Caenorhabditis elegans: one gene and its partner. The protein of the gene in region 2 interacts with the protein of the main gene of each other region in a pairwise test. Each region holds a gene or a part of one and is shown on either strand. Other genes may lie near its edges.

Region 1 (6,879 bases), on a different chromosome or scaffold from region 2:
AAATTTGTGAAAAAATTGAAAATTGGTTTTAAAAAATTTGAAGTTTAAATATTTCAAGTCCAGAAAATCCAATGCGAGAAAAAACCTCAAAATTTTTTTAAAAATTCCAAAAATTATATAAAAAATTATTTTAAAGCTTTCAAAAATTCAATAAAAATTCCAAACAAATTCCACTAATCTGAAAAAAGGATAAAATCTATTGGGGTCCTAAGCCTAAGTTTGAGCCTAAGTCTAAGTGTAAGGCTACGACTAAGCCTAAGCCCAAGCTGTAGCTTACGTCTAAGCCTAATTTTTAAATGTTTCAATTTCGAATTTTCAAATTTTCCAGCTCTCAAGAAGACCTTCCAACAATCCAACGCCAAGAAAGCCTTCAAAAAGCTCTCAGAGCACTTTGTAATGGTTAACACCGAAGACGACGACGAGCCATTCGAGGAGGAGTACCGTCCAGACGGAAAGTACATTCCACGTCTGCTTTTCCTCGACAAAAATGGAGATCTTCTTCAAGAATTCAAAAATAAGAAGGCCGAATACAAAAATTACGCGTATTACTACTCATCACCAGCTGATATCCTTAACTCTATGAAGGATGTGCTTAAACATTTTGGAGTTGACATTCCAGAGGCTAAGAGAGGTGATAAGCTTAAGCCAAAGAAGCCAGAGGGAAAGAAGAAGGAATTGTAAGAATAGAGATTGTTTTATTGATTTATTGATTGATTTTCAGCTAATTTATTTCTTATCATTTCTTTGCCAATCTTGTTAACTATTATTAATTATTATCACGAATAAACTGGTTCTCGATACGTCGGTTTTTACGAAAAATTTAAATTCGCGCCAAAAACCTTTTCGAAACCTCGAAAAAATTTTAAAAATCTTATGAAAATTGCATTTTGTGCCTGAAAATTTTTAGCCAATTTTTTAGAAAAAAAAAAAGTTTTAGGAAAATCTGTGACATTTTGAAAAATTCAGGAAAGTTTGAAATTCCAGCCAAAAAACTTTTGAAAACTAATTTTTTGAAAAAACTAATTTTTTGAAATTTTTGAATTTTGCATTCATTTGAAATTGACTTAGGCATAGGCTTAGGTCTAGGCTTAGGCTTAGTCTCAGGCTTAGGCTCAGGCCTACGCTTAGACGTAGGCTTAGGCTTTGGTTTAGGCTCAGGCTTTTTTCGGTGATTTTAGAAAATCTGAAAAGCTTTTTGAAGTTTAAATCTGAACAAAATTTTTTTTGTTTGAAAAAATTTATAATTTCATGAATTTTTGAATTTTGCTCTCGATAATTGTTTAATTTAAAAAAATTCAAAAAAAATTTGAATTTTGCCACAAAATAGGAGATTTAAAATACACCGCCCACATATTGGTTCAAATCTAAATCAAGGCTTTCATGGGAGGCAGGCGCGGTTTCAGGGCCTGACGCCTGTCTGCCCGCCTGCCTTCCGCCGCGGCCGACACTTTTCGGGTTCCGCACTATACAGAAGGCCCGAGGCAGGTGAAGGTCGCCGCAAGGTAGGCACACCAGGCCTTTTGGCGCCTACATGGAAGGATTAATCAAAACCAGTTTCCTAAGGGATTAAGAAACTTTCTCTCCTTCCCTATATTTGAGTAGTTATGTAAACATCCTCATATTCAGAATATGTCACGTCTCTTCTCCAATGTTCCGAATTATTTTCCTCTTATACATCGTCGGGTCATTTCTCTACCAGCAATATGAATTCGCAGTTTGAATTTCGAAATTTAGTTCTAAATTCCCAATTTCTTTGGATTTTTCTAATAAATCTTATCACCTCTGCCAATTCTGAAGCCCTAGCTTCTCCTTATCAGTATCTGAAGGATCTTTGCCCTGTTGGACAGCTTCCACTAACGGATACGGAGCACGTGAAGACGTGTGCAAGCTTATGTCCTCTTGGAGCATTTTGTCATAGGGGTATATGTTGTGTACCGCCACCGCAGTGCAGGCATCCGGCTTATAGGTGAGGAAATTTTTTTTTGAATTTTGTGTTAAACTTCGCAGATTATATATTGTTTTTTGAAAACAAATAATTTTATTTTACCGCCAAATTGTTTTTAAATGTTTTCAAATATTTAAAATTGGCGCCAATTTTTTTTGAAGTTTTTGGAATATTTAAGTTTGGCGCCAAAATTGTTTTGCAATTTTTAAATAATTTAATTTGACGTCACAATGTTTTAAAATTTTTAAAATATTTAAATCTGGCGCCACTTTTTAAAATTTTTTTTAAATATTTAAAATTGGCGCCAAATTTGTTTTGCAAGTTTTTAAATATTTAAATTTGGCGCCAACTTTTTTTGTTGATATTTTTGAATTATTTAAAATTGGCGCAAAAATTGTTCTGAAATTTTTTTAATATTTAAAATTGGCGCTAAATTTTTTTTGCAATTTCTAAAAAATTAAATTTAGCACCATTTTTTGAAATTTCTTTTAATATTTAAATTGGGCGCCAATTATTTTTGTTGATATTTTTGAAATATCTAAATTTGGCGAAAATTGAAATTTTAAAATTTCTGTCAAAATTATCAAAAAAAAAAATTATATCAAAAAAATTAAAACTTGAAGCTTGCCCCAACTATTTTAAAGATTCAAAAACTGAAAGTCGCGCCAAAGTTGCTAAAAATCTGAAATTTTGAATTTCGCGCCAAAAATATTTGAACTCAAACTTCAGGATGTCTACCGGCTTTCCATGTCTTCCAAAACGTAAGAATAACTGCCCAGATGGATCATTTTGTGTATCAAGTAGTCAGGATGGAATGTCGATATGCTGCTCAAACAGGAGCATTGAAAAGTTGGTGATTTTAAGCTCCGCCCACTTCTTGGTTTTCTGGGAGAAGAAGACCATTCTAAAATAAAAACTATAACTACAAATAAAATAAATCCATATTTTTACAGAAGTTTCCCGATAACATCACAATTAAAACTCTCCAAATCTGCACCGTTCCCAAAGGAAAAGCCGATGCAAAAATCCACGTCATCACTGATGACGTCACTAGACTCCTCCCAAATCTGTCCGAAATCCCATCCAATTATTGCACATGATGGGAAATCTCTGGTTTTGTGCAAGGATTGTGTTCAGGGGTTAGTTTTGGACTGCGTTTTAAAAATTAAAAAATTTATTTTTAAACGAAAATGTTACCTAAACTCGAAATTTACAATTTTTGCACCAAAAAACTGGAGAAAAATTTTTAGTGCCCAAAAAAATTATTTTTGAACATTTCAAATTTTTTTAGATTTTTCAGAAAGTTCACATAATATTGAAGATTTTGATTTTGTAAATTTGAACAAAAGCATAAAACTGTTTGTATCACAAATTAAATTTTTTTAACATTTGAACATTTTGGGTCCCACCACGATAAGTTTCAGAACCGATATTTTCCTGGAAACTGTTATAGAAAAAAAGTAAAAATTCAGATTTATTTCGGGGTACCCCGAATTCAAACAAAATATCATAATATGAAAAAAATTTTTAAATCAAACGTTAAATAATATTTCGAATTTTTGGGTCCCACCACAAAAGCTTTTTTGCCGAAAATTTTGTGAAAAAAATTGGCAAAATTGTATGTATGATGCTTTAAATTTAACATTTCAACTAATTTAAAAAAATTAAATTCGAAAATTTTTTTTTCAAATTCTATATTTTCAGAGTTTGCGCAAAATTCCGCACCAGTAACGTAGAGGTATGCTGTCAAAGTTCTGACGATATTTGTGGTGTTGGAAGTCAAATTTTGATGAATGGATTGGTGCCGAGGGACTGTAACAAGAAGCCATGTGGGATGGGGTAAGTGAATTTTACAGCTCAAGCCATGCTCTTAAAATAGCCAGGAGCTAATTTTTTTTGCTCGAAACTTTCCGAAAAACATCTAAAACTTGGAATCAATTTTTTGATTTTTTGAAAATTAAAGTTGAAATTTCACAAAAATTTTTAAACATTTTCAGAACTTCTAAACTAAAATTGCACCGCAAATTTCAAATTTCCAGCTACGAATGTTCGCTAACCCCGACGGGTCTTCGTGTATGTTGTTCGTTAGCCCAATGCCCGTCAGGAGTGTTTGCGAGAAGTGTGTGCGCAGCCGGATGTTTGAGAAATGAAAAGTGCATGGAAATTCAGAATGAGATGTGGTGTTGTCCATCCGAGGAATCATTCGGTTCAAGAATTGAGATGGTTTGTAGGAATGGGGAGAATGGGTAAGTTACTACATTGTACTGTAGTACTGTATACTGTATAGTGTACTGTTGGGGTACTGTAGCTCAGTTTCCGTTTGTCAAAAATTATCAAAAAATTTAATTCAGTGTTTATCATCCAGAAAATAGCCTTAATATACCGAGTATAACTGTAGAAAAATTTATGGAATTTCTCTAAATTTTTCTAAATTTTTAACGATTTTTTTTCAATTTTGCAAAAATATTTGATTTATAACACTAAAAACTATTCAAATGCCAGAAAATGGAGCCGTAATGACCAAATATATCTGGAAAATTTTTAAATAAATTTTCTAATTTTTTAAAATGATTTTTCGTCAATTTTTAAAAAATCTAAGAAACGGCCGAATTAAATTTGAATTCCCGCGCAAACCATATATTTCGGCCGTTTTTTAAATTGTTGAATAATTGAAAAATCATTTTAACAAATTCGAAATTTTTTTATTAGGTGCTTCTATTGAATTTTTCTACAGTTACATTCGGTATATTGAAACTATTTTATGTCATTTAGAGCAAAAAAAACTTCCAAAAATTTTATTTCCTCGAGTTTTTTTAAAATTTCAAATGTACTTGATTGTCTAGATTACTGTAGAAATGCTTATGACTCAATTACAAAAAAATCCCAGTATTGATTCTTATTCCAGAACCGGTGAAAAATGTGACCCAGCTTTTCCGGCGTGCTCACAAGGAGCATTTTGTGAGCTGAACAAGGAGAAGACCGCCCATATTTGCTGTAAGCGGTATAAAAATCGACGTGAGTATTTTATTGCTTAAACCTATAAAAACTAAAATTCAAGAAAAAAAAAAATTTCAGTCGGCAACAGCCGTAAAACCCTTCTACCCCCTCCATTCTACTACACTACAACTACTATGAAGGCTCCCATAACCATAGCCACAACTACTGCAGAACCATACCCTTTTGAATCTGTGTAGGTTGCTTAATTAAAGGCAAAGTAGCGCCAGAGGGGAAAGTGTTTAAAACTACTCCATTGGTGTCAAAATGATCGAATATCATTTTAAAAAATTTCAAAAAATTTTTGAAATTTTTTTATTTATTATCAAAAAGTGACAATTACTCAGTTTTTGCCACTCATAATTTTGGAAGTCAACCAAAAAAAAATTTTTTTCTACATTTTTTATACTGTAATTTTTTTTTAATTATTTGTATTAAAAAATTGTAGGGGTTGGAACATGCGAAATTGCTTTGGATTTCCTCAAAGGCTCATATTTTTCAAAATGTTTGCAATTTTCCAAAACTGACCGGGAATAATGAAAAATCTAAAAATTTTTGGACTGTTTGTTAATGATATTTGGTCATTTGAAATAATTTTAAGTGTATTTAGACACAATCCCCACTGGCGTTACTTTACTTTTAAACCATCAAAGGTATCTTAATCATATCTTAATATTTATTACAGTCCAAACTGCCAAGACCCTGAAGCCCGTCCACTCATGGAAAACGGCTTCCCATACATTTGTGATCATATCGGAGATCCGTGTATTCTTCGATCAGGATATTCGTGTCAAGAATCTGATATTGATGATGTCTATGTGTGTTGTACTATTCAAATGAACCGAATCCTTCCACCACAGATTCCAATGATTGGGCCATTTACGTTTATGACGTCATCAACTACTACAACTACTGAGAAGCCGATTGAAGAGGAAGAAGTGATTGCGCAGCCGACATGCCCATTTTCATATATGCCGTCGAAAAATGTTAATCAAGATGTGCAGCGTTGTCTATCACTGTTTACGTTGGAGTGAGTTCCAGAAAAATAAAAAATAAAAAATTTTTTTCGATTGTTTTTTGAAACTCTAAAAATCAGTATTATCTTATTATCTTTATCCAATTTTTTAAAATTTTTTTTTAAATCGGAATTAAAAAAATTCTAACATACATATATTGTTGAAAACGTTTAACGTTCAAAAATCGATATTTTAAAATAATTCCAGCTGCCCACTCGGCTACACGTGTCTACCATCTTCCACTACCGACAGTTATCTATGTTGTATTCGGAAGCCTGTGGTCTATTAGGCTTAATTATTGATTTTTGTTTTTTTTTTCGAATATTTGTGCCAATTCTATATTTTTTAAATATTTTTTTAGCTAATGAACATGTTTTCAAACAGTTTAATTTAAAAACAGCCTAATACAAAAACTTGGAAAACTAAGCCTAAGCCTAAGCCTAACCCTAAGCCTAAGCCTACACCTAAGACTACACCTAAGCCTAAGCCTAAGCCTATGCCCAAGTCTAAGACTAAGCCTAAGCCTAAGCCTAGGCCTAGGATAATGAGAGCATTTTCAGACTGCTCTATAAAGCCAAACAAAGATTTTGCAATAATTCATAACGCATTCGATTCACAATAACAAGTTCTTTAATAAAACTATAAAAATGTAAAAAGTTAGGAGTCAAATTTTTATTTATTTAACACTGAAAAATTGGAGTGTGTAGATAATGAGAGCATTTTCAGACTATGTTTTTTCAGAGCTGACGCCAAGCTTATGCCTAAGCCCAAGCCTACGCCTAAGCAAAAGCCATAATTCTGAAAATCTAAATTCAAATGTTAGCATCCAAGTCTGGGCTCAACGGTCCAAGCCTGAAAGCTTAAAAACCTAAAGCCTGAATATTTTTGCAAACATAAGTAAACTGAATTGAAGTTTTATCTGTG
Region 2 (4,007 bases):
TTTTTGCAAAAGATATAGAGATAAATGCATGCTCGACAGTATAATTCTTATATTCAACGTTTCTGGACGACGTGGGAATTTTCCCATGCTACTGATGAAGTCTGAAGTGCATAGAAGAAATAGCACGAGTGACCTTTTGCTTTCTGGACATTATTGCATGCAAACTACTACTTTTTGCTTACTTCACACTATTTCGACACTACTATTATTGGTTTTCTCAATCATCAAATGTGTTTTCAAAGAATTTTGAAACATATCCAGATAGAAACTGTAAAAAGGTCTAATGCTCTTTAAGAACTGCCGTTTTAAAATGATCAAAGTTTACTTTTTGAAGTAAATTCTGAAAACGCCTCGCGATATCGTGTAATTTGATCGTTTGTTCATTATATTTTTTATTAAGAAAACTCCCCATCACCTCCTATTTCATCCTTCTCGGAGTTTTCTTAGAAGAAAAAGAAAATGGAAAAAGCGTGTGAATGTTTCTATTAGATGACAGGAGATCCATTTTTTACATCCTTCAATTTTTGCAACAAGATTCCACTTCAAAGAATGAAATGTTTCATTAATAAGTGCAGTTTCAAAAGATCAAAATAATACCAGCCGGTTAGTTGTTGCATTTGCTATTTTTACAAAACAAGAACACTAAGTATATATCGAAACGTGCAAGTACTTTTCATTGGTTTAATCCGGTGAGTGGGGCGTTTTCGTGTTTTGTTTAACTCATGACTCATAAAGGTTATTCAGGATAAACTATTCCTAATTACCTATAATAGATGTACATGTAAATGCTTTTCCATGTTTGGAGTTTATCGTGCTTGATCTAGAAAATAACAATTTTTTGAAATAACTCTGTCTGAGTTCCTAAAAAGTTTAATTTATACTTTCGGGAAAAATACGAAGTGGTTTACCTTTTATCATCAAAAATGTCCCAGTTTCTAATAAATGGATATCATCTCTTCTTTTCCCATTGTAAATTTTCCAGCTCACCGACATTTGCATAATGCAATTATGTCATACTGAGCGGTTATTGTTGTTTTATTATCTTATCGTGGATTCATTCTCTCCTTACTTGCTCACTTCATTTTTATAAATCTGTCTCGTTGCAGCTGCTCTATAAGATACAACAACGGGATATTCTTCTATCTCTTGCTCGTTGTGTTGCGTGTTCTGTTTGTTTCCTCATTGCTTCCTTAGAATGTTCATTCAATGGCTCATTAGATGTGTGCCAACCTTTAAGAAATGCCAGCTGATTGTGCATTCGTTCCGCTACACAACATGTACTTAGACATGTGTCGTCTATCTCTCCCTATCTTATAACATTTTCTTTATCTCCTTATCTCCTTCTGTTTAAAAGTCCAACTATCATTTGGAGTTTGGTGTCAAAACCAGCAGAAACAGATGATAGAAAAATATTTTGTTTCCGTGCCAATAGTCATTGATAGTTTAAAATATTTCTTTCCTGTGATATAGTTTTCCCTTTTCTGCGTTCTCTCGTTATTGTCTACACTCTCATTTAACTCATAGTCGATGTTTCAGATGGCTGATCGCAACTCTATTGGCGAAAATGCTGCCGCGCTTATTGGCAACACACCCATGGTGTACATCAATAAATTGACAAAAGGACTTCCAGGGACAGTTGGTTGGTTTATTCATTTGAATTAAACGAAATCTTAAAAAATGTTTTGAACAATACTGGTGAAACTTTGAATTTTTTTGTTTCTTTTATGCAATACCACTGTAACCGAGTTTTGTAACTTCTCAACAAAATATAACTTTGACAAATAGTCTCACTTAAAAGAAAGTACGAAAAATAGTAAAACCAGAACGTAGATAAAATTGAATTTTACAAATCAAAAATGTTTTGAATTTTCAAGAAGAAACAAAAGTCCAATTATCCTATTATAATTTTCAAGTTTACAGCTGTAAAAATCGAATACATGAATCCAGCGGGATCGGTCAAAGATCGTATTGGAGCGGCAATGCTTGCAGCGGCCGAAAAAGATGGAACGGTGCTTCATCAACAATACCATTGTTCAAAAAATTGCATTAAAATTTTTTAAGGTGATCCCGGGAGTGACCACGCTCATTGAGCCAACATCAGGAAACACTGGAATCGCATTGGCTTTTGTTGCTGCCGCCAAGGGGTATAGATGTATTGTCACAATGCCAGCATCTATGAGTGGAGAACGCGTGAGTATTGATCTTATGGATGCAAATCTTCACCCCAGGAATTGCCAGTACTGAAACCTTTTTTTTTAGCTATTGAGTACAGTTGTGTCATCTGTGATTTTAAACAAATCTCCGGGTTGAAAATTTTTTAACATATAAAATATATATCTTACAGAGAACTCTTCTCAAAGCATATGGATCCGAGGTGGTCTTGACAGACCCAGCGAAAGGAATGAAAGGAGCGATTGACATGGCTAACCAGCTGAAGGAAAACATTCCAGGGTCTATCATTCTTGCTCAATTTGACAACCCAAATAATCCACTTGTTCACTATCAAACAACTGGACCAGAAATTTGGAGACAAACCAAAGGGACAGTAGACGCTGTTGTTTTTGGGGTTGGAACTGGTGGAACAATTACCGGAGTTGGCAGATACTTGCAAGAGCAGAATCCAGGTGTCCGCGTGTTTGCTGTGGAGCCAGAAGAATCCGCTATACTCAGCGGCAGACCAGCCGGTCCACACAAAATTCAAGGCATTGGAGCAGGGTTTGCTCCAGCTGTTTTGGACACAAAGATCTATGAAGACGTAATTCGAATTCATTCCGATGAGGCTATTGTCATGGCTCAAAGACTTTCCTATGAAGAAGGTCTTCTTGGCGGTAGGTTGTGTGACTGTGTTTGCTTTGATAGTTTGAAAGAAGTATGTTTTTAAAATTCTATATTTTAGGAATTTCCTCCGGAGCTAATGTTGCAGCTGCACTTCAGTTGGCTGCTCGCCCAGAAATGGCTGGAAAGCTCATTGTGACTTGTTTGCCAAGCTGTGGAGAACGATACATGTAAGATGACTGACTTAAAATGTTACTTGTGATGTGAGCTAGTAGTTTGCATCTGATTCCTCGGATGTTGAGTATTTCTGATAGAAAGTTAAACAACTATTGAATCTTTAACGTAGTAATCATGTACAATTTACTGTGATTGATCTTAAAAACCATTTTTCCAGGACCTCTCCTTTGTACACCGACATCCGCGAAAGCGCTATGGCTCTGGCAGTCGAAAGCTTGGAGGCAAACTTGAAGAAGTTATGTCTTCACAACTATGATATTATGGAGTGATTTAAATCAAAAATTCATCTCACTTTTTTCTTTTTTCTTTCATTTAAATTCTTTCACCCAAAAATTATCAAGGTTGTTACTCACTAAAAATGATAAATCGGCTGGTAATTCAATCAAAAAACCTACACATTATAATAATTTGCATTCTTTCGTATTTTTTCCATGTAAATGTTCCGCTGTCTATTTTTTCAATAAATGCAATTAGTGTTTTGTACTGTGATCTAAGATAGCTTGTATGCTTTGAACCCGCAGACACTAAGATTGGTGTTGAACTGACGAAACTGGGAGGATAACCGACTTTTTTAAAAACAATTAAACCATTAGCACAGTGAGGCATGAAATAGGCTTGTCGATGTCTCATGAAAAGGTCAGTGCAGATAGAAACACTGACCCTAATAAGGAGGAATGAAACCTGGTTTGGCTAATCGCCAGAAAAATTCTTTCACCGATAGTGGTGGCCAACGAGACAAACGCTGCATGTGGTTTCAAGCGAGAAGTTCAATTTAATTAGTAGTATGGATATTTAACGCGATCTTTATCAAATCGGAAAACTATACCACGGAGGTCTGGTTTGATGGTTTCACTATGAAATTATTTGAGCGGAAAGTTCACAGTTTTCTAGCTGACTCCTTTGAACATGTTCAGTTGAATTGACATAAACTTAAATGGTTCACGTACCCATCTTTTTGGAAAAGAGTAATGGAAAAGTTCTAGTAGCATATTTGC

The links. Proteins that work in one complex are often made in the same cells at the same time.
Region 1: the proteins of cysl-1 (region 2) and Y57A10A.24 interact in a two-hybrid assay, tested with the Caenorhabditis elegans proteins (one large-scale study listed by BioGRID).

The regions. Positions count from the first base shown.
Region 1 is NC_003280.10:12,241,292-12,248,170, forward strand, and holds Y57A10A.24 (EB domain-containing protein), read left to right. Parts: upstream 1-1,654; 5' UTR 1,655-1,703; coding exon 1,704-1,966; intron 1,967-2,674; coding exon 2,675-2,794; intron 2,795-2,898; coding exon 2,899-3,084; intron 3,085-3,649; coding exon 3,650-3,784; intron 3,785-3,984; coding exon 3,985-4,191; intron 4,192-4,850; coding exon 4,851-4,960; intron 4,961-5,020; coding exon 5,021-5,135; intron 5,136-5,624; coding exon 5,625-5,969; intron 5,970-6,162; coding exon 6,163-6,244; 3' UTR 6,245-6,338; downstream 6,339-6,879. Other genes in the region: txdc-12.1 (Thioredoxin domain-containing protein), read left to right, coding at 329-681.
Region 2 is NC_003284.9:9,952,063-9,956,069, reverse strand, and holds cysl-1 (Cysteine synthase 1), read left to right. Parts: upstream 1-1,536; coding exon 1,537-1,639; intron 1,640-1,920; coding exon 1,921-2,009; intron 2,010-2,061; coding exon 2,062-2,190; intron 2,191-2,344; coding exon 2,345-2,828; intron 2,829-2,896; coding exon 2,897-3,005; intron 3,006-3,169; coding exon 3,170-3,281; 3' UTR 3,282-3,491; downstream 3,492-4,007.